Linked DNA regions of Arabidopsis thaliana. The protein of the gene in region 4 purifies or fractionates together with the protein of the main gene of each other region. This does not show direct contact. Each region holds a gene or a part of one and is shown on either strand. Other genes may lie near its edges. The genes, in order: AT1G33600, AT1G30580, AT1G33670 and ECHIA.

Region 1 (6,255 bases), on a different chromosome or scaffold from region 4:
TATTTTGATATTTGTAAATATATTTTCCAAGTATATTTTGGTATTTTGTATATGTTTGGTTATTCGATCTAAAAATAACTAATATTTTGGATATATAATTGGATATTTTTGAGTATCCAAAATATTTTGGTTTGGTTCGGGTTTGATTATAATCTTTTTCGGTTCTAGAATTTTGGACCTATTTGAATATTTTACAATTGGTCTGAGTTCAGTTTGGTTCTTTTTTCTTCGGTTCCAGTTCAATTCTTTCGGTTCACTTATTATGTCCAGACTTAATCCAGACGATGGACTGACTTGACTAATTATATCCGATAAAATCAGACGGGATTTTTGGATCGAGGGACCGGTTCAAGAAATTCTGGTCACGCGGGATCAGAAAATCCAGGTAAGTAAATTTAATTCTTATACTCATTAATTTGACTAACTGTTATGTGTATTTTGTAAAGTTTGGGTATTTAAAAAAAAGTAGAAAATTTGGATAATTTCTGTTAATTTTGTAAAAGTTAAATACATAAACGGAAATACGAGTATCTTTTCCGAAGTCCTCGCCGTTCACTTTAGTAGTAACATTTCGCGTATATGGAAAACAATGTCGGAGGGTTGAAATACTACTTTCACTAATACAATAATACGTATTGATTATCGTTGTTACATGTAGTGGAGCTTCTTGATGTCTTAAGTTAATGGTGTGTTTTTGTTGATTGAGAGAAGCATTCGTGGTAGCTATTAATAGAAGGAAAGTCATCGACTCTAGCGCTGACGATTTTGACCAAGTCATATGCATGTGGTGGCATTACGTGGTGGTATAATCCGTGATCGTTGTTGAGTTTAGCATCTCTGGATCCCTTGAAAGAGACAGTGTCTTTCATCAGATTATTATATAAATGGTTTAACATATCTTCTTTTTCTAGAATTTTGTTGTTACATTGTATTAAAACTCATAAGTCATATAGTTTTTTTCCACTGTCTTATTAGTATTTCTTTCTATCAAATTTAAATAAAATTTTATTTTTATTATGGAATTTAGTTAGGAAAAATAACCATTTTGATTTTTCTCTAACATCTATATATACATTTTTGCAGCCATTTTGTGAAATAAATCCTGGAGTTCGAACTTATTTACAATACCTGCCATTGCCTTTTAATTATTGGTTTTCTTTTGGCAATAAATTGATTAACAAACAAAAAATATTCCAAATATATTATAATCCCATATATCACGCAAATTTCTCCAAAATTTAAACTAGATTTCGGAAACTATTTAAAACAAAAAATATTTGACAAACCAAAATACAATTGCAATCCCTTAAAATGAGCAAAACGCACCTAAATACATTTCCTATCAGTTCACTAAATCTTATTTCTCCAATATTTGAACTAGATTTCGACAACCATTTAAAAAAAAAATTTGTTTGACAAACTAAAATATAATTGCAATCCCGTAAAATATTTATTTAAATTAGCGGTGTATCGCAGATTTTTTTAACGGGACGGGTTTGGTGGAACGAGTTTGGAAGGATATTACTTAATAACAATTGTAAACTATAAAATGTAAATATTTTATAGATAAATATAATTTGCAGACTCTTATATATACTAATTTTAAAAACAAATTGTCTCCGCGGTGTACCGCGGGTTATAATCTAGTTATGTACGTTATTTTCGTCTTACTTTTTTCAACACGTTATTTTAATCTGTCCAACAAAATGTTCGTTATTGACCTTAAATTAGAAGTGAAAGATTTGACTGTTTAGATTTAGAACGATCTAAGTGCAATGATCTAGACAGTGAAAATAAGTTGGCCTCAAGATGGTCAGGTAAACATTATGCTTTATTTTCTTAGCATAATCTAACATTAGTAGCTTTATCTATTTGCCTATTGTAAGAACTAAGAAAGTGAAAATTTAGATTGTTCTCGAAAATCGATTTGTTCAGTTTTCAGTTTATGGTAGTGACATTTAAGATGCATGCTACCTCTCTTATGAATGCCGTAGCGTTCATCGAGATCCATTTGTTTTTATAGCTTTGAATAATAAGGCAAATCTCAGTGTGTCTACAGTTTTAATATTTCATATTATTACACAAATAACTCTAGTTTTCTTGTCTACAAAGTCACCAGTTTCATGATTCTAATGGAACATTTATTCCCAAGATCTTCATTACTTCTTGGATGTAGGGTAGGTACCGAGAGTGAATGTATCAAACTATTGGTTTATATGTGATATTATTTTGTCTGTCTAGATTTTAGATATTTAGCTCACCAATGATTAGACTGCCCACAAAGTAATCAAATTAATGTTGGAAATTGAGAATAACCGATCAATAATTTGTTAAAACATCAACATGATTTATATTTACATGGCTATGTACTGTATTATCAAATTTCTTAAATATTATAAGGTTTTTTTTAAACAAAAAAATCACAAATTATGGTAAGTGGTCATAATATTATTTTTTCTAAACATGTTTTACTTTTTCTTTTAACTGACAAAAGTTCATTATTCTGTAACTTCTGTTAATGTTCTGTTAGTTAGTGTTCTGTTCTGTTATCTTTTAGGGCTGTACAAACAAAAAATGTTAATTTGGAGATCTAGAGTGTTAGTTTAATTAATTTGGAGGTTTATAATGCTAGTGAAAATATCTTGAGGTTTAAAGTGCTGCTCAGTGTTAGGTTTAAAATGTGATTTTCCCCTTAAATATTTTGTTATTTTCTATTCCAGTAAAAAAAATAAAAATCATGTCCATGTATGGCGTAGCCGAGTAGGCTAATTTTGTTATTACAAATCTTATTCAGAGCTATGTGTTACAGTACTCAACTACAAAATTGTACCTTTTTGCCGCTAAATTTTACAAGGAGAAAGCGGAGAGCCGCAGAGACAGTCATTACCGACAAACGCGCTGGCCGGGAATTTAGTCACTGGAAGCTTTCCACAAAGATGGTTATGACTCAAGTTCAATTTTTGCAGTTTAGCCACGGTCATTGGTACCTTCCCAAATATCAAATTCCTTGATAGATCGAGGCTTTCTAGTCTCTCACTTAAATTCAGCTTCCCCATGTCGAATCGAAGTTTGTTCCCTGACGCTTGAAACTCATATAGGTTATGCGCTAGGTTGAAGAACCATGTTAGACTCCCTGAGATCTCGTTTTCTGACAGATCGATGTAAAAGTAAATATTGGGTCTCACTGGCTTCCAATTGTCTAAGCTCATATTGATCCCGCATTTTACCAGCTTCAACGAGTACATGGACGGCGACGAGGTCACCCATTTCGGTATCGTTTTGAGGTGAAATTGGTTGTATGAAAGATCTAGAGTGGCAAGGCCATCAACGTTCTTCATGGCAGGGAGTGGACCAGTTAGAAAATTGTGGGAGAGATTGAGATGGAAAAGTTTAGGCATATTGGCTAAACTCTTCGGAACAACCCCAGAGAACCTATTTCTAGAAAGATCCAATGAGTCTAGTACCTTGAAGTTTGATAAAAAGGTCGGGATTGTCCCAGAGAGATTATTCTGGCTTAGATCGAGGTAATTGAGAATTGGTTTGAGTGATGCAATGGACGGAGGAAGATTTCCAGAGAATTTGTTGCGGGAGAGGGTTAGAGATTGGAGCTTCTGCATGGATTTGAAAATATCCGGTATGGTTTCAGAGAGACGATTGTTGCCAAAGTTGAGTGACAACAAGATCTTGAGATTAGCAAGACCTAAAGGTATAGTTCCGGTTAAGAGATTATCTCCAAGATTGAGCAGATATAACCGGGTTAAATTGGAAATGGAACTCGGGATCGGACCAGTAAACAGGTTTCCGTCGAGACTTAGTTCTCCTAACTCGCTTAGCGCACCAATGTTAGCTGGAAGAGGACCGGAGAGACGGCTATTCGTGAAGTAGACTTGTTTTACATTTGGTAATTGGAAAAGGAATTGAGGAAAAGAACCAGTGATGTTTCGAAGATTGGTGAAGTAAATACCAACAAGGTGTTGGAGTTTGGCCAATGACGGCGAGATAGTGCCAGAAAGAAAGCTTCCAGTAACATCAGATTGTCCGTTGATAGTGAGTCCGGTGACGCGGTTGGTGAGACAACCGACACCCTTCCATGAACAGCAGTCAGTACCTTTCTTCCAAGAGCTGAGAATACCCGTAGGATCTTGAGTTATACCCGATTTAAAAGCTAAAAGACCCGCCTCGTCATCAGGATGACACGTGGCAGCTTCAATGGGACTTAAACACCGGAGAAAGATAACGAATGCAAAGATGAAGAGAGGGAAGCAACAAGAGTTCATGGTTGAGTTGTGTTGATTGAAAGACACAATTGGTCGCTATTAATAGAAGGAAAACGTTGAATCAAGAGCTGCCGATTTTGACCAATTCATGTTCATGTGGTGGCAATAAGTTGTGGTAATATCCGTAATCGTTGTCGAATTTATTATCTCTCAACCCCTCGAAAGAGACAGTTTCTTTCATCAGATTTTTATAATATTTTGATGATTATAGATAAAGGATTTATGTATCTTATTTTTCTAGAACTTTGTTGTCAAATTACAATTGTTTTCTATCATGTTTAAATAATATTTTGGGCTATTATGAAACTTAGTTTGGAAAGAAATTTCATTTATGTTTTCTCAAAATGTACGTTATTTTTGAAAAAAAAAAAATATTTATTAACATGTTATTTTTGTCTAACAATATGTACATTATTGACCACAAAATAAAAGTCAAATATATCTAAGTACAATGATCCAGATTGTGGACTAAGTTGGCCTCGAGATGGGCCGATAGATTCATGCCTTAATTTTCTTAGCGTAATCCAACATTAACATAAGTAGCTTTATCTATTTGTTTATCGTAAGAAATTATAGTGGAATCTTAGCTTGTTTTGGAAGAACCAATTACTCAATTTTCGTTTATGGTGGTGAAGTTTTAAGATGCTGCATGCATTAGTCTTGTTTTGGAAGAACCAATTACTCAAACTATCTTTTTTTGTATAGTTTTTGAATAATTTTTCTAGGTTGGTTTACTATGTCTTTGTCTCATTGAATATGGATGCATTAGTCTAATCGAACTTTAGTGTTTTAGACAAAAAAAAAAACAATACTAAGTTGAAACCTACTTCAGAGATGGTCTAATTCCTCAATGCAGACGCTATATGTCCTGTGGATGACCTTGTGTTATGTGTATGTAAAGAGAAAAAAGAGGTTTGATACTAGTATATATCGATTACTTGGTTTGTTGTTTGGTATGTGTTATTTGTGATCAAATAAATTTTGTAGTGATGAAGTTATATGCATCTATCTAGTAAGGACTCCTCTTGTTTTCATCACTAGGTTTTTGTTAACCAATTATAGAACACTGAAGAATAATAAATTACGCATAGTTCTAAATAAGATATCACTATAACTTTCTTTCTTTTTTTGTATAGAGCGAGTTAAATTCCAGTAAACATAGATTATTTACTGCATCATTTGTTGCGACTATTCTGAATTGAGAACAGATTAGCCAAGAGTTGCATACTACATAATCAGTTTAATATATAAGCAAAAGTTACATAAATTGGAGCATGTTGTATCAGAATACTACTCTGTTTTTCCTTCTATTTTTTAAAATCATTTTTCTATCATGTTAAAGTAATATTTTAGCTGCTATATAAAAAATGCATAATAGTTGAGAACTTAAATACTACTTTGAGTACTTTCACTAATACATATTGTTAGAATGAAGCTTCTTCATAACATAAAACTACTTTATTTGTTGTAATCTTTTTAATACAAATTTTATTTGGAGCTAAACTTTATTGGTCACGGTAAATATCCAACTACCAGTTGTAGCTTTCTTGCCGCTTAAGCTTTACAAGGAGAAAGAGGAGAGCCGCAAAGACAGTCATTACCCACAAACGCACTGGCCGGGAACTTTGTTACTGGAAGCTTTCCACAAAGATGGTTGTGACTCACGTTCAATGTCTTTAGTCCAGCCACCATTGCCGGCACCTTCCCAAATACCAAGTTCCTTGATATATCTAAAGTTGTCAGCGTCTTTGCAAACGTTAGCTTCCCCATATCGAATCGTAGTTTGTTACCCGCTGCCTTGAACTCCACTAGATACTCTGTTTGGTTCAAGAACCTTGCTGGACTCCCTGTGATCTCGTTTTCCGACAGATCGATGAAATCATAGTAGAATGTTTGCGCTGGCTTCCAATCGTCTAAGCTCATCTTGATCCCGCATTTTGCTAGCTTCAACGAGAAGATGATCGGCGACGAAGTCACC
Region 2 (6,439 bases), on a different chromosome or scaffold from region 4:
GATCCTGAAAATTGTGGTGTGAGATTTGCCAGTAAGCTGTTGGACATATATCTCTCCAGCAACACATGTCGACTTACTAGGCGAGTTTAATCTTGTCCTTCTTGGTAAAGATTTCTCTGCATGATATGAAGCTAATATTGTTCTAATCACCACTTGTGTATTCTTTTGTTTTCTCTTTATACTTAACAGGATGAGTGCAGTGGCTTATCTAGCTAGCTATTTGTCTCGTGGAAAGTTTTTGCCTGCTTCTTTTGTGGCTAGCATGTTGAAAAGGTACGTATTGCTAAAAAATGGAAAATGTAATTGTTTGATCTGATTTAAGTCTCGCTTTGTTGTAACATAGTTTCTCTTTTGCTGAAATCCTAGATTGGTGGACGAGTGTGCGGAATATTGCGGAACATGCAATGATGATGTGAAGCCAGAAGCACATCAAGTGTTCTATTCTGGATGTCAGGTATAGTCCAAGTTTAAGACCATCTTATGGCTTTTGATTCCTTAAGAACTCTTCTGTGAAATCATTGACGTCTCTAGTTATCAATCATTGTTAATGTTCACACCCTTACCAGAAGCTTATTGGCGTTTGGGATCATATGCTATTATGTCATGTATCGCTTAAAGTTGTTACTTTTCTATGACTGTAGGCAATCTTGTATGTGCTATGCTTCCGAATGAGATCCATAGTGGAGATTCCTCGCTTTCAATCGCAGTTTAGATCATTGGAGTCAATTTTATCTCACAAACTAAACCCACTACTGGTGGGTGACTTACACTAATCATTTTCTTCTCATAGCTCAACTGTTATTTTAAGTAGTCTTCACTCCAAGTATCAAATGCATTATGCTTGCACCATTCATTTTGTGTGAACAGGTGTGTCTTCCATCTGTAGTTTCCGAGTTCCTTAAACAAGCCAAAGCTGGTGGTCTGTTCATTGTCTCAGAATCCTTCATTTTCGATGACCTACACGAGTCTGAGCTCTCTCGTGCTTTTGGTGGCTTTGAAAGGCTTGACACATTCTTCCCGTTTGACCCGTGCTTGTTGAAAATGTCTAGCAGGTTTGCTATCTTTACTCTTGATTATTTTTTCTCTTCCAAAGTAAGGACAAATCAATGTGAGAATCTTACACAAGGTTCTTGACTCACTGGATGAATTTACCCGACCTGGGCATATTTGATACAAATTCTACTGCATACATCTTAATTACAGTCTTGAAATGACATTGAAAATTATTTTAATATGATAAAACAAGTGATGAATCAAAGTATTTGCATTGGATAGGCTTGAACTCTCTTTCTCACACGTGTTTTCTTGTCAATTCTTGAAGCTACATCTCCCCGAACTTCAACTTCTGGTCAATGGTGAAAACGACTTATGGAGAAGATGGTGACGAAGAGCTTTGTGATGAGGTCATAGTGAATGGAGATGCAGACAGTGCGGAGGAACCTGACGATGACGTTGAACTTGATAGTGAGATGAACACGATGTCTACAACTCCGAAACACTCTTTCATGCGAGAAACAGAGAGGCTCTTGAAGATGCCTTCAAGAATCAGACCATCCACTAGTCCTCCTGAATCCTTCTTAATCTAATAGTCATAGAGAGAGGGAATGCAATTTTGCAATGTAGGTTTCTTATTACAATCTCTTAGCTAGTGCGTAAACTCTAAAAAAAAGAAGTTGACATGAGTTTTGTGCGAGTCTGTGGTATTATCTGATCGCATGTGGTTTTGTAGCAAAATTTTGAAGAACATCTATGAAGTAAAATTTAGTCAGTTGGTTTATGATTACCTAATTTGAGTTTCGGTTTAATTTGGTTAAGTTGAAATGCTGAATGATTGATTTCTCGGTTTAGTGTTCAATATTGGGTTTACTTTGTCCACAAAATTGGTTAAAAATAGCTCTTTGTATTTTGGTAAATGTCCCGCAAATGGTTAAAAGTAAACCGGGAATTGACCCTCCGATTTAAACCGGTCCGTAAACCAGCTGAGCAATCTCTCTTTAACCTCGGCGTCGGCGTCTTGTAGCTTCTTCTGCTAGGCTTTGTTAATCAGCAAAAACCCTAGAATATCTTAGAGCTTCGCTTCACTTTCAAGCTCGAGACTTTGAGAAAGATGCCTCCGAAAGCCAAAGCTAAAGATGCAGGTCCCGTAGAGAGGCCTATTCTTGGCCGTTTCTCTTCTCACCTCAAGATCGGAATTGTAATTTTTCTCTTCATCTCTCTTTTAGAATCCAAGTTGATTAATTTCGAATGGTGAATGGTAGATTTGCTCATCGCAATACTTTCCTCGATAAAAGTTTTTTTTTTTTTTCTTCTTCTGAGTTTTGCCGGGAGAGATCTATTAACTCATCAGTGATGCATGATGATATTGTTTGTTTCGTTGTGTTTGTCACTGTACTCTTTTAGATGTTTAATCCATATTTAAGAAACTGCTTCTTTGATACAGTGATTAAGGTTGATTGTTCATGGTTGATATGATGATATGGAGAAGTATTGATGTTATTCACTATGGGAATTGTTTGTGGCATCGCAGGTTGGGTTACCAAATGTTGGAAAATCTACTCTTTTCAACACTCTTACAAAGCTTTCAATTCCAGCTGAGAATTTCCCCTTTTGTACCATTGAGCCTAATGAGGCACGTGTGAATATCCCCGATGAGAGGTTCGATTGGCTTTGCCAAACTTACAAGCCTAAGAGTGAGGTAAGTTTGTAACTTTATTTCATGACTTGCTGTTAAGGAAGAGATTACTACTATCTGAATTACTTTATGAATGGGCTGACTTCTGTCTGTTTTGATGCCTCAGATTCCAGCTTTCTTGGAAATTCATGACATTGCTGGGCTTGTTAGAGGAGCTCATGAAGGACAGGGTCTTGGAAACAACTTCTTGTCCCATATTCGTGCAGTTGATGGAATTTTCCATGTTTTACGTATGGTTTTTCCCTCTCGCTTTTTCTCCTAGTGCCAGCTTTGTTTTAGTGTGATGCGTGATTTGATGAATAATTTAGACTGTACTGCTACTTGTGCTGTCTTGAATTTCTACTTGAGCAGGCTTTTCAATGAGAGACAGGTTAAAAACCTTTATATATTTTTCTTCCCATTTGATACCTATAGGGCCATTGCGATAGTTAGTTTATGTTTTCCTCTCCAAGCATATCTGTTCTTGAACAACGGGGATGTTTCTTTAATAGTTGCTGATAGTAAGATATCTTGCCAGTTATATAGTGGTTAGTGACTTTTCGATTGAACATATGCAGGTGCTTTTGAAGATGCTGATATTATCCATGTCGACGATATCGTGGATCCTGTTAGAGATTTGGAGACCATTACTGAAGAGTTGCGGCTAAAGGTGAATCAAATCTCTAAACAGATATTTGACTGCTATATCTCCAAACTCGTGAAATCCTTTCTGTGTATATTAATACAGTAGTCTGTTTTTTGTATTAGTTGGATCTTCATTTCATCCATTGTTGTTTTGGTTTCAAACTGAATTCTTTGGTGCAACTTTAGGATATTGAATTTGTTGGAAAGAAGATTGATGATGTCGAGAAGAGCATGAAGAGGAGCAATGACAAGCAGCTGAAAATAGAACTTGAGCTCTTGCAAAAGGTATGCTATAATTTGACAACCATGCAGTCTTGTTCTGCAAATGTTATTGCTCATTAATTATTAATTGGCCGAAAAAATGACTGTACCTCTCTGGTTTAGGTAAAAGCTTGGCTAGAAGATGGTAAGGATGTCCGTTTTGGGGACTGGAAAACAGCTGATATCGAGATTTTGAACACTTTCCAATTGCTTTCTGCAAAGCCCGTTGTTTACTTGGTGAGTAGTCTTGAATGTTCATCTCTTTCTGTTACCATTGTTTCTATCAAGATAAATGCATTTGCTTCTTTCATATCTATAGTCGACAATTTTGTTCCCTCAATTTTTTTCGGGTCAGTTTGCAAAATGTAGGTCATACTGTCTATTTTTGTGACACTATTTGCCCCCAAATTTAACCATAGTGTGTTCCTTAGCTATTTCTGATCTCTATGCTTTCATGTTTGTTTCAACTATGTGTTTCATCTCAGTGTAAGAACTATTAAGGCATCTTGGTTGGACTTTTTGTGATCACTGGTTACTCTGAAATTTAAATTACAGATTAACCTGAATGAGAGAGACTATCAGAGGAAGAAAAACAAGTTCTTGCCAAAGATTCATGCCTGGTACTAATATATATCCTTTCACAAACTATGTTGAATAATAAGTAAAACATTTTGCCCCTTGGTTGTTGCAAAAGTTTCTAATATGGCTACGTGCTTACACATTTACTTACCTTATTATACTTCTCCTAAACTAAAAATATCTGTTTCATCATTATGTAGGGTTCAAGAACACGGTGGTGATACTATGATTCCTTTCAGTGGTGTGTTTGAAAGGAGTCTCGCTGATATGGCCCCAGATGAAGCAGCAAAGTATTGTGAGGAGAACAAACTGCAAAGGTTAGGAATAAAAGAACAGCACCTTGCGAATGAATAGTTGCTCCTGAAGATGATTTTTCTTTATGAATCTGTTAAATTGAATCTTATGGCCATTGCTGCTTTGACAGTGCTCTTCCGAGGATCATCAAAACTGGATTTTCAGCAATTAACCTCATATACTTCTTTACAGCAGGGCCTGATGAGGTATTAACAGTCCCACTTTACTTGGCTTCACTACACGCTTTAGTCTCTAGTTCTCTGTGAAATTCTTCTAAGCATAATTGTTCTGTAATGAGCTATTTGGTAGTGCATGATCAGTGTTATGTGTCAAGTAGTGCATTGTTACTGGAATTTGATGGTTTATAAAATACATCCATCAATGATACTTTGATTTGCAGGTGAAGTGCTGGCAAATAAGACGGCAGTCAAAGGCTCCTCAAGCTGCAGGGGCCATTCATACTGATTTTGAGAGAGGATTTATTTGTGCTGAGGTACCATTTTCTCATTTCTCTTGAATCTTGGTCAATTCACTAGTTTATTCCTACCTAAAATTTACATGCGTAAAGCCTTTCCCCTCCAGATTTTGATGATTTGTTCTGTTATAGAGTTTATATAATCTTTCTTATGTTTTCACTGACAAAAACAAATGCTTGCTTGCATATTCTTATATTCATCTTGGTGTTGATTTCCTAGTATCGATGCAGGCCTGTAGATATCAAAGCAGAATCCTAATGCAAACCATATCTAATCAAATATTTTTCTGTTTTGAAATTCAATGTGATTTATTCCAATGTTGTTGTTGATGTCACAGGTCATGAAATTCGAGGATCTCAAGGAACTTGGCAATGAACCTGCAGTCAAGGTATTTGTCTATAACTTCTTTTCCTTCTACAATCTCTTAAGGTCTCGGTGGAGTAAGTAGCCTCTAAAAACAGACATGAAAATGTTAAGGAAGCTCTCCACTGTGCAAGATATCCTCGTTGAAGAGGCATGATTATATTTATAATGTTCATGGCGATGACACTTGGTCTAATTTATAATCCCTTCAACTAATGCAGGCCGCAGGAAAATACAGACAGGAGGGTAAAACATATGTTGTTCAGGATGGAGATATCATTTTCTTCAAGTTCAATGTTTCCGGTGGTGGGAAGAAATGAGATCCATCCGTCTGTCCACCTATCCGCGGTGTCCTCTCTGGATCTTGAAGCTCTATCCATTTCCGAGAAAGGAACCAAGCTGTATTTTCCGTTTTTGAGTGGCTTTACCAAACAAGTATTTGTAACTCTTTACATTTTGCAGTTAGCTAAGACATGTCTTTGCCTTTAGACAGAGCATTAAGCCTGCTGTATCGTTTAGAACTCTTTCAATAAGTTTTTCTCTACTATTTGGAAAGAACCTTGAGTAATTGTGCGTGAGAATGAGTTGAAGAAACCCAGCAAACAACTTCTGGTGCACTTATTAGCGAAGGAAACAAATGGAAAGAATGATTAAACGAATACCTTAAGGAAATTATATTTGCAGTGTATATTACAAGCTCTATTACAAAAGAGCTTCTGGATAGATCACAATCAATTATAACAAAAGAACAAAAGAATTATTTTGGGACTGGCCAATCCAATTGCTTCCTCTAAGCCGAATTGTGAAGAGCAGATCCTGTTTGGCTCTGCTCAGTTTCTGAGGAATCTTGATTGGAACAAGCTGGAAGAGTAAAGCTCTCTGGTGCTTCTTCTACCGCTTGGCTGCTCGAAAACGAGTTTTCTCCATTCTGTTTGCGAAGCCAAGCTTCATGAATCTGCAAAACATACTCCAAGCTCCATAACACTTCTCCCATCATTGGCCTGTTCTTCCCTTCATCCGCTAAGCACTTCTCTGCTATCTCCCCATACTTCTCCAACGATTCAGGACTGTAGTTTCCCCTCAGATTTGAGTCGATGATGGACTCGAGGTTTCTCTGTTTTTGCCAGCTTAAAGCCCATTCCGCAAGGTT
Region 3 (3,636 bases), on a different chromosome or scaffold from region 4:
AGCAGTGGAATGGGAATATAGCTGATTAAAGGGTTTGTGGGCTTTTTAATGGGCCTATCGGACCTTACTATTATTCAACTTTTCATTGGCAAAAAAGGTAAAAGAGAAGTATTTAATTTAGCCCATGCACAATTAAATACAAGATCTGATCCGTTTACATTTCAAGTGTTCGACCAAATTTATAAGAACACTCAAGCATAACATATGCATCATTAATACAAGCCAACGTTACATAAATCGGAACATTTGTATTAGAATACTACTACTACTCATTAAATTTAATCATTTCGTATCATGTTGAGGTAATCATTGTCCGGCTCAGTGGTTCTATTGACTAAATATGAATTTCTTCGCTTCATGTTTCTCAGAGAGACTGTTTGGTGACCTTTCAAATGCCTTCAGATCCTCAATTTTGTACCAACATAACGACTGCATGGAAATAGTGCATAAGGGTTGAAATCATACTTTCACTAACATTCACTATAGTTGTAATGGAGCTTATTGGCATTGGGATCTTTAAATCACTTTATTATAGTCACACAAATTTTATTTGGAGCTACGTGTCATAATAAATCCAAATACAAAACTGTGCTTTTCTTGTCCCTAAGCTTTACAAGGAGAAAGTGGAAAGCCGCAAAGACACTTGTTATCGACAAAAGCACTAGCCGGGAACTTTGTCGATGGAAGCTTTCCGCAAAGATGGTTTTGACTCAAGTTTAGTGTCTGCAGTCTGGTCACCGTCACCGGTACCTTCCCAAATACCAAGTTCCTTGACAAATCCAGGGTTTTCAAGAAGATTCCAAACTTTAGCTTCCCCAAGTCGAACTGGAGTTTGTTCCCCGGTGCATGGAACTCCACCATAAAATCCATCTGGTTAAAAAACCTTATTGGACTCCCTGAGATCTCGTTTTCCGAAAAATCAATGTGATGGTAGAAAGAGGTGTCTGCTGGCATCCAATGGTCTAAGCTCATTTTGATCCCACATTTTGCAAGCTTCAATGAGTAGATGAACTTCGACAAGGTCACCCATTCGGGGATTGTTTCAAGGTGAAATCGGTTGTACGAAAGATGTAGATATTCGATGCCTAATGAGTTCAAGACAGGGAATGGACCGGTAAGCAGATTGTGGGAGAGATCAAGAAAGATAATGTTGGTCAGATTGGCAAAACTCATCGGCACGACCCCTGTGTACCCATTCCTAGAGAGATTTAATGCGGAGAGAAGCTCGAATCTCGATAAATAGTCCGGGATAGTCCCCGATAGCTTGTTATGGCCCACCTCAAGGGTAGAAAGAGTCGGTGCAAGAGATGCAATCGATGAAGGAAGGTTTCCAGAGAATCTGTTGCTGGAGAGATCAAGAAATCGAAGTTGCCGCATGGATTTGAATATGTCTGGGAAGATGCCAGAAAGGCGGTTACCGTTGAGCTTGAGTTGGAGTAAGCTAGTTAACTTAGACATCGAACTTGGGATCGAACCGCTGAACCGGTTTCCCGCCACACTCAAAATTTCCAAATTACTTAGTGCACCGATGTTGGCAGGAAGGGGACCAGAGAGACGGTTATTCTCTAAGTAAACAGTCCTTAGCTTTGGTAATTTGAAGAGGAAGTGGGGAAAAGATCCAGTGATCTTTCGAAGATTGGTGAGGCGAATCTCGTTGAGGTGATGGAGTTTGGCGAGCAACGGTGAGATAGTGCCGGAGAGAAAGGTTTCACCAACATCCGTATTTCCGTCTAATGCCATCATGGTGACGCGGTCGCCATGAATCGTAGGGAGGCAAAAGATACCGTACCAGGAGCAGCAGTCAATATCTTTCTGCCATGAGCTGAGAATACCCGAAGGATCTTGGGTTATACCCGATTTGAAAGCTAAAAGACCCGCTTTGTCATCAGGATGACATGTGGCAGCTCCCGTGGAACTTAAACACCGGAGAAAGATAACAAAGAGGAAGAGAGGGAAGGAACAAGAGTTCATGGTGTTTTGTTGAATGAGAGAAGTGACTGAAGTGTCGTCGACTCGAGGTCTGATTTCATTTCTATTCATTTTCAAACGTGTTTTTTCTTGCATAGTTAGTGGTGTCCGTAATTACAGCATGACAATTATCATTTTATATTCCCATGACAGGCTTAATCAACTCTCTGTCGGTAAAAGAGATACTCCATGATATAGACCTTAATTAACAAAATAAAGAGATCTGATATCAATGTGAATCTCGATCTTAAGACTTGACCACATGTCATTGGAATGGTAAGCGTGATATTGGTAATCCCTCTTGTATATCTTATTGACCTGTGATTTTTTAAGTATTAAATTAAGCTGCGAGATTTTGTTCAATATATTTTGATCTTATAATAGTATAATGCCTGTTCCGTAGAATACAAGCAACACGATTTTGAGGCATGGTTTGTTATCAGAGTATTGGAGAGGTTGTTTTCATATTGTTTAAGTGTGAGTTTAGAGATTTAAGACGTTGGTTTGTTTAAGAGATAGTCGCAGAATCTCTATAATGGTCTGTCTAATCGATTTACTTCTTATGATTCATTTCCTCAACCAATTTTCTTATGCGCTTCTTGTCTTTCAGGTTACTCCATTGGAGCTTTTTGAATCTTAGTTTGAGAGAGAGAAAGGATTGATCATTATATTACTGATTAACCTTAGTTTTCGACAGGAAATGCTCCTCCCGCCATAGGTTCATTTTTGGTTTATATTTTTGTTCAAATTTATTTGTTGGCTTATGAACATTAAGCTTTTGGATTCATTGTACTTTAAGAAATATTCTAGATCCAAAAAATGAATCATCTAATTGTTATTGTGTTCGTTATTGCTTTGTGTTCTCGTTAGAATGAAGGTAAGGGTTGTAATACTTAAGAATTTCTTAATGAACTCACTCGTGGTAGTATTCTCAAATTAAGTAAAGTGCACATCCAACCATAAGTAATATGTAATTTGAATTTTTGTTTTAAGTTTTAACGGACTAAAATTTTCAAATTAGGGGGAAAATTATAATTCAAATCCAAATCCAAATGGGTCTAACGGAATAAAACGGGGTATTTTAGTATTTTCGTATCAACTAGCTTTAGAACACTCACTACAAATATAATTTTCTGGTTCCATTCATTTCATCACCGACTCAAAAAATACTTCGTCTCTACAATTCAAATTATCAAATTCTTCGGAATCAACTTGTTTCGGCTCCAGCCGGTGATGAATCTGGGGATGAGAAACGAAATTGGGGAGGAAATCCTTGTCACCGCCGTCAAGAGGAGCGTGTGATTGACTCGGTTTAAACCCTCCGATATTACGCAAACAATCAGGTATATAATAAACCCAATTCTGATCGATTTCAAGTTTGTTTTTGATTCATCGGTTGTTTCGTTTACTTCATAATTCTCTTCCGATTATTCAGAACATAATTGTGGAATTGAATCTTGATTACAAATCCTTGTGATTAAGCAAAATAAGGTTAGGAATCACAAACCCCTTTCTTCGGGTTTCTTTGTTGATCCATTTATAGTAATCAATCTCTTAGCAATTTAGTAGAATCAGTGAATTTCGTAGTAGTGTGATGATTCTGATGATGATGATCTTCATTTTGTGTTCGTTTAGTACTAGTTTCAATTCAATCATGTAGGTTATTGA
Region 4 (4,173 bases):
GACAACATCATGTTTGGTTTCTCAATTCGGGTCGGAGTTTGAGATGATGGTTAAGGACTCTAATACAGATGATGCAAGATTTAACTTCCTGAAAAGCTCTGAAGATCCTTATAACGTATTGTACAAGCAAAAGCTTGATGAGTACTCATTAGATCCTCGCGACGCATATTACCAGCACAAGCTTGCTGAATCCATTTCTAAGTATCACCGTGAAGCTACACCAAAGTTGAGCCCTATCCTCCTCCTCAGTCTCAATTCAGTCTTCAGTCTCAAAGATTGGTCCTGCCTAATCTTTTACAGTTTAGACTTGTTAAAGAGATGACATTCGAGGAACTTGACACCGTTAAGGTCACAGCGCAGTTTGTGGCATGGTATGGGGATGATTTTAGAGGGTTTCTGATGGAAAGAGTGATGACGGAACCTCAGTTTGAGTTTATGAAGGCAACTGATTACAGGTTCTCTTTTTACAACGAGTTTGTTGTTGCGTATTCGCAAGTATTAAATCCACCCAAATATTTGAAAGATAAGCTGAGGGGTCGTGCTGCTTATACAGTAATAGGTCACTTGCTCATTACAATGTCAGAGGAGGAGATATCCTAATACTGCACGTCGTGGTCTGAGACAGAGAGATGGACAATGCTTGTGCAGGCTAGAACAAGCATGCATTTTATTCACTTAATATTGTTTGTTTCTAAAGCTTTGGACTTATAATCCTGATACAGTTATCAATTCCATAAATTTTACCAACATATGTCTAAAGCTGAGAGATACGTATCTTAGACTACATACTTGATTTGAAACAAACAAAGATATTCTTATTGTAAGACACTAATCAAAATGTAAATTAAGAAATGGTACAAAGTAGTAAGTATTATTTTAAGATCCATAGAGAAACTGTCTACAACTTAGAAGAAGGTTTCTTGGATCCACGTCCGGCTATAAACTCCTGCATCTTTCTAAACTGTTCCTTCGTCATCCCACTGTAATACGCGTGAGCTCGCTCCTACGATTTCAACAACAGTTTTAGACTTTCTCACAATCACAAATTGATCAACAAGTTAAAAATGGCAGAATGTTTAACCTTTTCTAGTGTGAGAGCATGCCCAAGATCAAGCTTAAGTCCATCATTGATAACGGATTTAATCCTCAGAACCATGCCTTGTTCATTCTTGATTATAGCCTCTGCGATTTCTCTAGCTTTCTTTAACGCTTCTCCTTCTTCAACCACATGGTTTACAAACCCTAACTTCCCAGCCACGTCTGCTGTCAGTGGCATCGATGTTAAAGAAACTTCTCGAGCTTTGTTTGCTCCGATGATCCTCGACAGCTTCTGAGACAAACCCCATGAAGGAAATATCCCAAACCTTCAAACACAAAACAGAGGATTCACATTCATATCATCAAAAACATTCATCTCAAGGCAACAAAATTTTGAGAGCATAAACAAATGAGATTGAATTTTAAGATGTTGAATTGAGTAGAGCTTGAAACAACATGATTTTCTATGATCCAAAGCTAAAATCTGCAACTATATTTGACCTAATTGCTAGATACCAGTGCTATTGATAACTATGCAAACGACGTCGTAAGAGAAGAAATCAACCTGGCGTGAGTATCCATGAACTTAGCTCCTCTAGAAGCGACCAAAATATCACAGGCCAAGGCGAGTTCAAACCCGGCGGTGATGGCAAAACCGTTAATAGCTCCGATGATCGGTTTACGTAACCGCTCCATCTGCACAACCGGGTCGGTTTCCGGATCCTTCACGTCTCCTTTGAAAACAGACTCCGCCGCAGTCAAATCAACGCCAGAGCAGAAAGATCGACCTGATCCGGTGAAAATCACGACCTGGACCGATTCGTCGGAGTCCATATCCTTGAATGCCTTGGCGAGATCAACCATCATCGCTCTCGTGAGTGAATTGAGAGATTTCGGACGGTTGATTGTGATGACGGCGATCCCGCCTGATTCTTTCTTCACCTGAATGAGATTTTCCGATACTGTTTGATCCATTTTTCGACGATTCCGATTACAATTGAACGGATTTCGAATTTTCCGATCGGGTTTTTAAATAGAGTCAATCAGGAAGAGATGACGAAGAACTTGGGTAAGTGTGCCATTGTTTTGTCGTTGTTAGTAAACAACGTCCCGTTTTTTGCTTCTATTTTAGACGCTGCGTATTTTGTTTCTCAAACATGAAAACGGCAAGTGGAGAAAGTACAAACACAAACCATGAGTAAACCGGATCGAACCGGTCTGATTTCTGTTCATCTGTTAATAAATGGTTTTGTTAAAAAACTTTTATGCACCATTTGCATAATAGACTCGTTAATTTTTTTTTATTTTTTTTTTTGTGTGCACAGACTCGTTAATGTGTTTTAAAAAACAATCTTCTGTTAAAGTATAAGGTTCACCACAAAACGTTTGAGCTCTATACAATTACTAAAAATAGTTAGAGTAAGTTAAAAACGTCAATGATCTGATCTCAACTAGTGAAAGACACATCCACTTGGTACAAAACCTTGATCTGAAACTCCTTGAAACATTGCCCCATGAAAAGGAGAGAAGATGCTTCATTCATCATGCAATTATTTTTATAGAAGTAATTCGTTTCACCATTAATATGTTCACAATTGCAAATATTTATTTGTTTAATCTTTTAAAAGAAGGTCGGACCAAGATCAGTAATTTACTTTGCCGATGTCAACTTTTTAACCCGTTTGTTCTATTATCAGAAAAGTTGAGACCTTTCATAGCAAAAGTTCAAACTAAAGACATTGGGTTCAACCTCCTTTGGAGGATACCAGCTAACACCACTATCCGTTAATTTATCAAGCATTAGTTTTAATCACCATTATACGTTAGGTCAAAGATAACGAATTACAATCGTCTACCACGTCAACGGTTTGTATTACTTCTACAAGTAACCGATAGTGCATGTTTCATGGGAGCTTCTATTATTTAATAACACGTTTTATTGACTATTAATTACTATTATCATCATGAAACAATTAATGTGTATAGTCTTATCTTGATAACAAGTTGTTTTGTTAATTTAAAATCCACCTCTTGCTTCTTTTGTTGTTTACTACTCTATTTAATACTACTATCTATTAACATGTTACAAACAAACATATAGTATTGTATTTTTTTTCTTTTTTTTTTTTTTTTTTTTTGCTCAACATCAACTTTCATTTATCAAATGATTACATCCAATTGAAGGTACATAACATTCTCCTCTATCAAATTGGACCCAAATGCAATGGTTTGATCTAGTATCACGCTGAAACACTATCGGATCCAGCGCTACCTGATCGAGGAACCATTGCATTTTTAAACCACAATGAGATAGATAATACTCCACAAATCAGAATATTATCATCTCTTTGACCACCTACACAGACTCTAAGCGACACGAGAACAACTACTAAAACGGAAGAGACCAAAACCTAGTCTGAAGTACAAAGTAAATCCATACTATTAGTCCCTATTGATCAGAATGTAATCCATGTCCCAATAGCATTACCACCCGGAGACGCATCATCAGAAAGACTCAATATCCCCGGCTTTCGTTGTTCCGGTCCTAAACCAAAAGCGGACCATATATCCGACTGACCCGACCAATGATACAAGGCAAACCAGCAAGGCTAGAGCTTTTCCCGAGCTAACCAATCAACCGTAAGCTACTAATCGATTAAGGATAACACATTGGAGCCCGGATTAGTAAGACCTCACCTAAACGGTGCATTGCCGGAACGATCTCGCCGCACATGCCTTGTTGCCTCGCTCCATCGCCGGACTGGACCAGACATTGAGACGGTTCACTAGATCTCCGGATTATCTCGGCCACCGGCGACCACAGCTCCATCCCCACGCCTGGAAGACTCTGACTCTGCCTCTGTTCATCCGTCGGCTTGGTTCTCCTGGGGGATACAGGGATCGAAACAGCTGCTCGGAGCAGCTCCGAACCCCACCAGTCTCCTGGATAAGGATCGAGCCGAGAGCTCTCTCCTCTACCTACTGCCTCCGCATCGTCACACCGTCGTCGTTGAGCTTCACCTTAGCCTCCGGAGAAAGGAGCAAAGAGTCGACCTTATTTCTAAACTAATAGACAAGACAACGAAAAAGAAAAGGGGGGAAGCCCTCTCACACCGCCGGCAAAAGTCACAGGCG

What was found.
Region 1: the proteins of ECHIA (region 4) and AT1G33600 fractionate together in Arabidopsis thaliana (co-fractionation; one large-scale study listed by BioGRID). This does not show direct contact.
Region 2: the proteins of ECHIA (region 4) and AT1G30580 fractionate together in Arabidopsis thaliana (co-fractionation; one large-scale study listed by BioGRID). This does not show direct contact.
Region 3: the proteins of ECHIA (region 4) and AT1G33670 fractionate together in Arabidopsis thaliana (co-fractionation; one large-scale study listed by BioGRID). This does not show direct contact.

Annotation. Positions count from the first base shown.
Region 1 is NC_003070.9:12,178,798-12,185,052, reverse strand, and holds AT1G33600 (Leucine-rich repeat (LRR) family protein), read right to left. Parts: upstream 4,278-6,255; coding exon 2,841-4,277; 3' UTR 2,831-2,840; exon of another isoform or gene 2,453-2,830; intron 854-2,452; exon of another isoform or gene 846-853; 3' UTR 525-845; downstream 1-524. Other genes in the region: AT1G33590 (Leucine-rich repeat (LRR) family protein), read right to left, coding at 5,832-6,255.
Region 2 is NC_003070.9:10,831,123-10,837,561, reverse strand, and holds AT1G30580 (GTP binding protein), read left to right. Parts: upstream 1-1,926; 5' UTR 1,927-2,107; coding exon 2,108-2,194; intron 2,195-2,527; coding exon 2,528-2,695; intron 2,696-2,798; coding exon 2,799-2,922; intron 2,923-3,249; coding exon 3,250-3,341; intron 3,342-3,502; coding exon 3,503-3,601; intron 3,602-3,700; coding exon 3,701-3,814; intron 3,815-4,132; coding exon 4,133-4,197; intron 4,198-4,356; coding exon 4,357-4,473; intron 4,474-4,580; coding exon 4,581-4,656; intron 4,657-4,850; coding exon 4,851-4,943; intron 4,944-5,263; coding exon 5,264-5,314; intron 5,315-5,510; coding exon 5,511-5,609; 3' UTR 5,610-5,889; downstream 5,890-6,439. Other genes in the region: AT1G30590 (RNA polymerase I specific transcription initiation factor RRN3 protein), read left to right, coding at 1-80, 190-273, 367-454, 642-755, 868-1,052, 1,322-1,586; HERK2 (hercules receptor kinase 2), read right to left, coding at 6,080-6,439. UniProt on the Arabidopsis thaliana protein: Hydrolyzes ATP, and can also hydrolyze GTP with lower efficiency. Has lower affinity for GTP. Exhibits GTPase activity.
Region 3 is NC_003070.9:12,200,298-12,203,933, reverse strand, and holds AT1G33670 (Leucine-rich repeat (LRR) family protein), read right to left. Parts: upstream 1,972-3,636; coding exon 604-1,971; 3' UTR 526-603; downstream 1-525.
Region 4 is NC_003075.7:9,175,966-9,180,138, forward strand, and holds ECHIA (enoyl-CoA hydratase/isomerase A), read right to left. Parts: upstream 2,175-4,173; 5' UTR 2,014-2,174; coding exon 1,604-2,013; intron 1,365-1,603; coding exon 1,082-1,364; intron 1,004-1,081; coding exon 899-1,003; 3' UTR 601-898; downstream 1-600. Other genes in the region: AT4G16200 (SWAP (Suppressor-of-White-APricot)/surp domain-containing protein), read left to right, coding at 1-225, 276-600; AT4G16215 (uncharacterized protein), read right to left, coding at 3,279-3,427, 3,527-3,611, 3,731-3,868. UniProt on the Arabidopsis thaliana protein: Straight-chain enoyl-CoA thioesters from C4 up to at least C16 are processed, although with decreasing catalytic rate.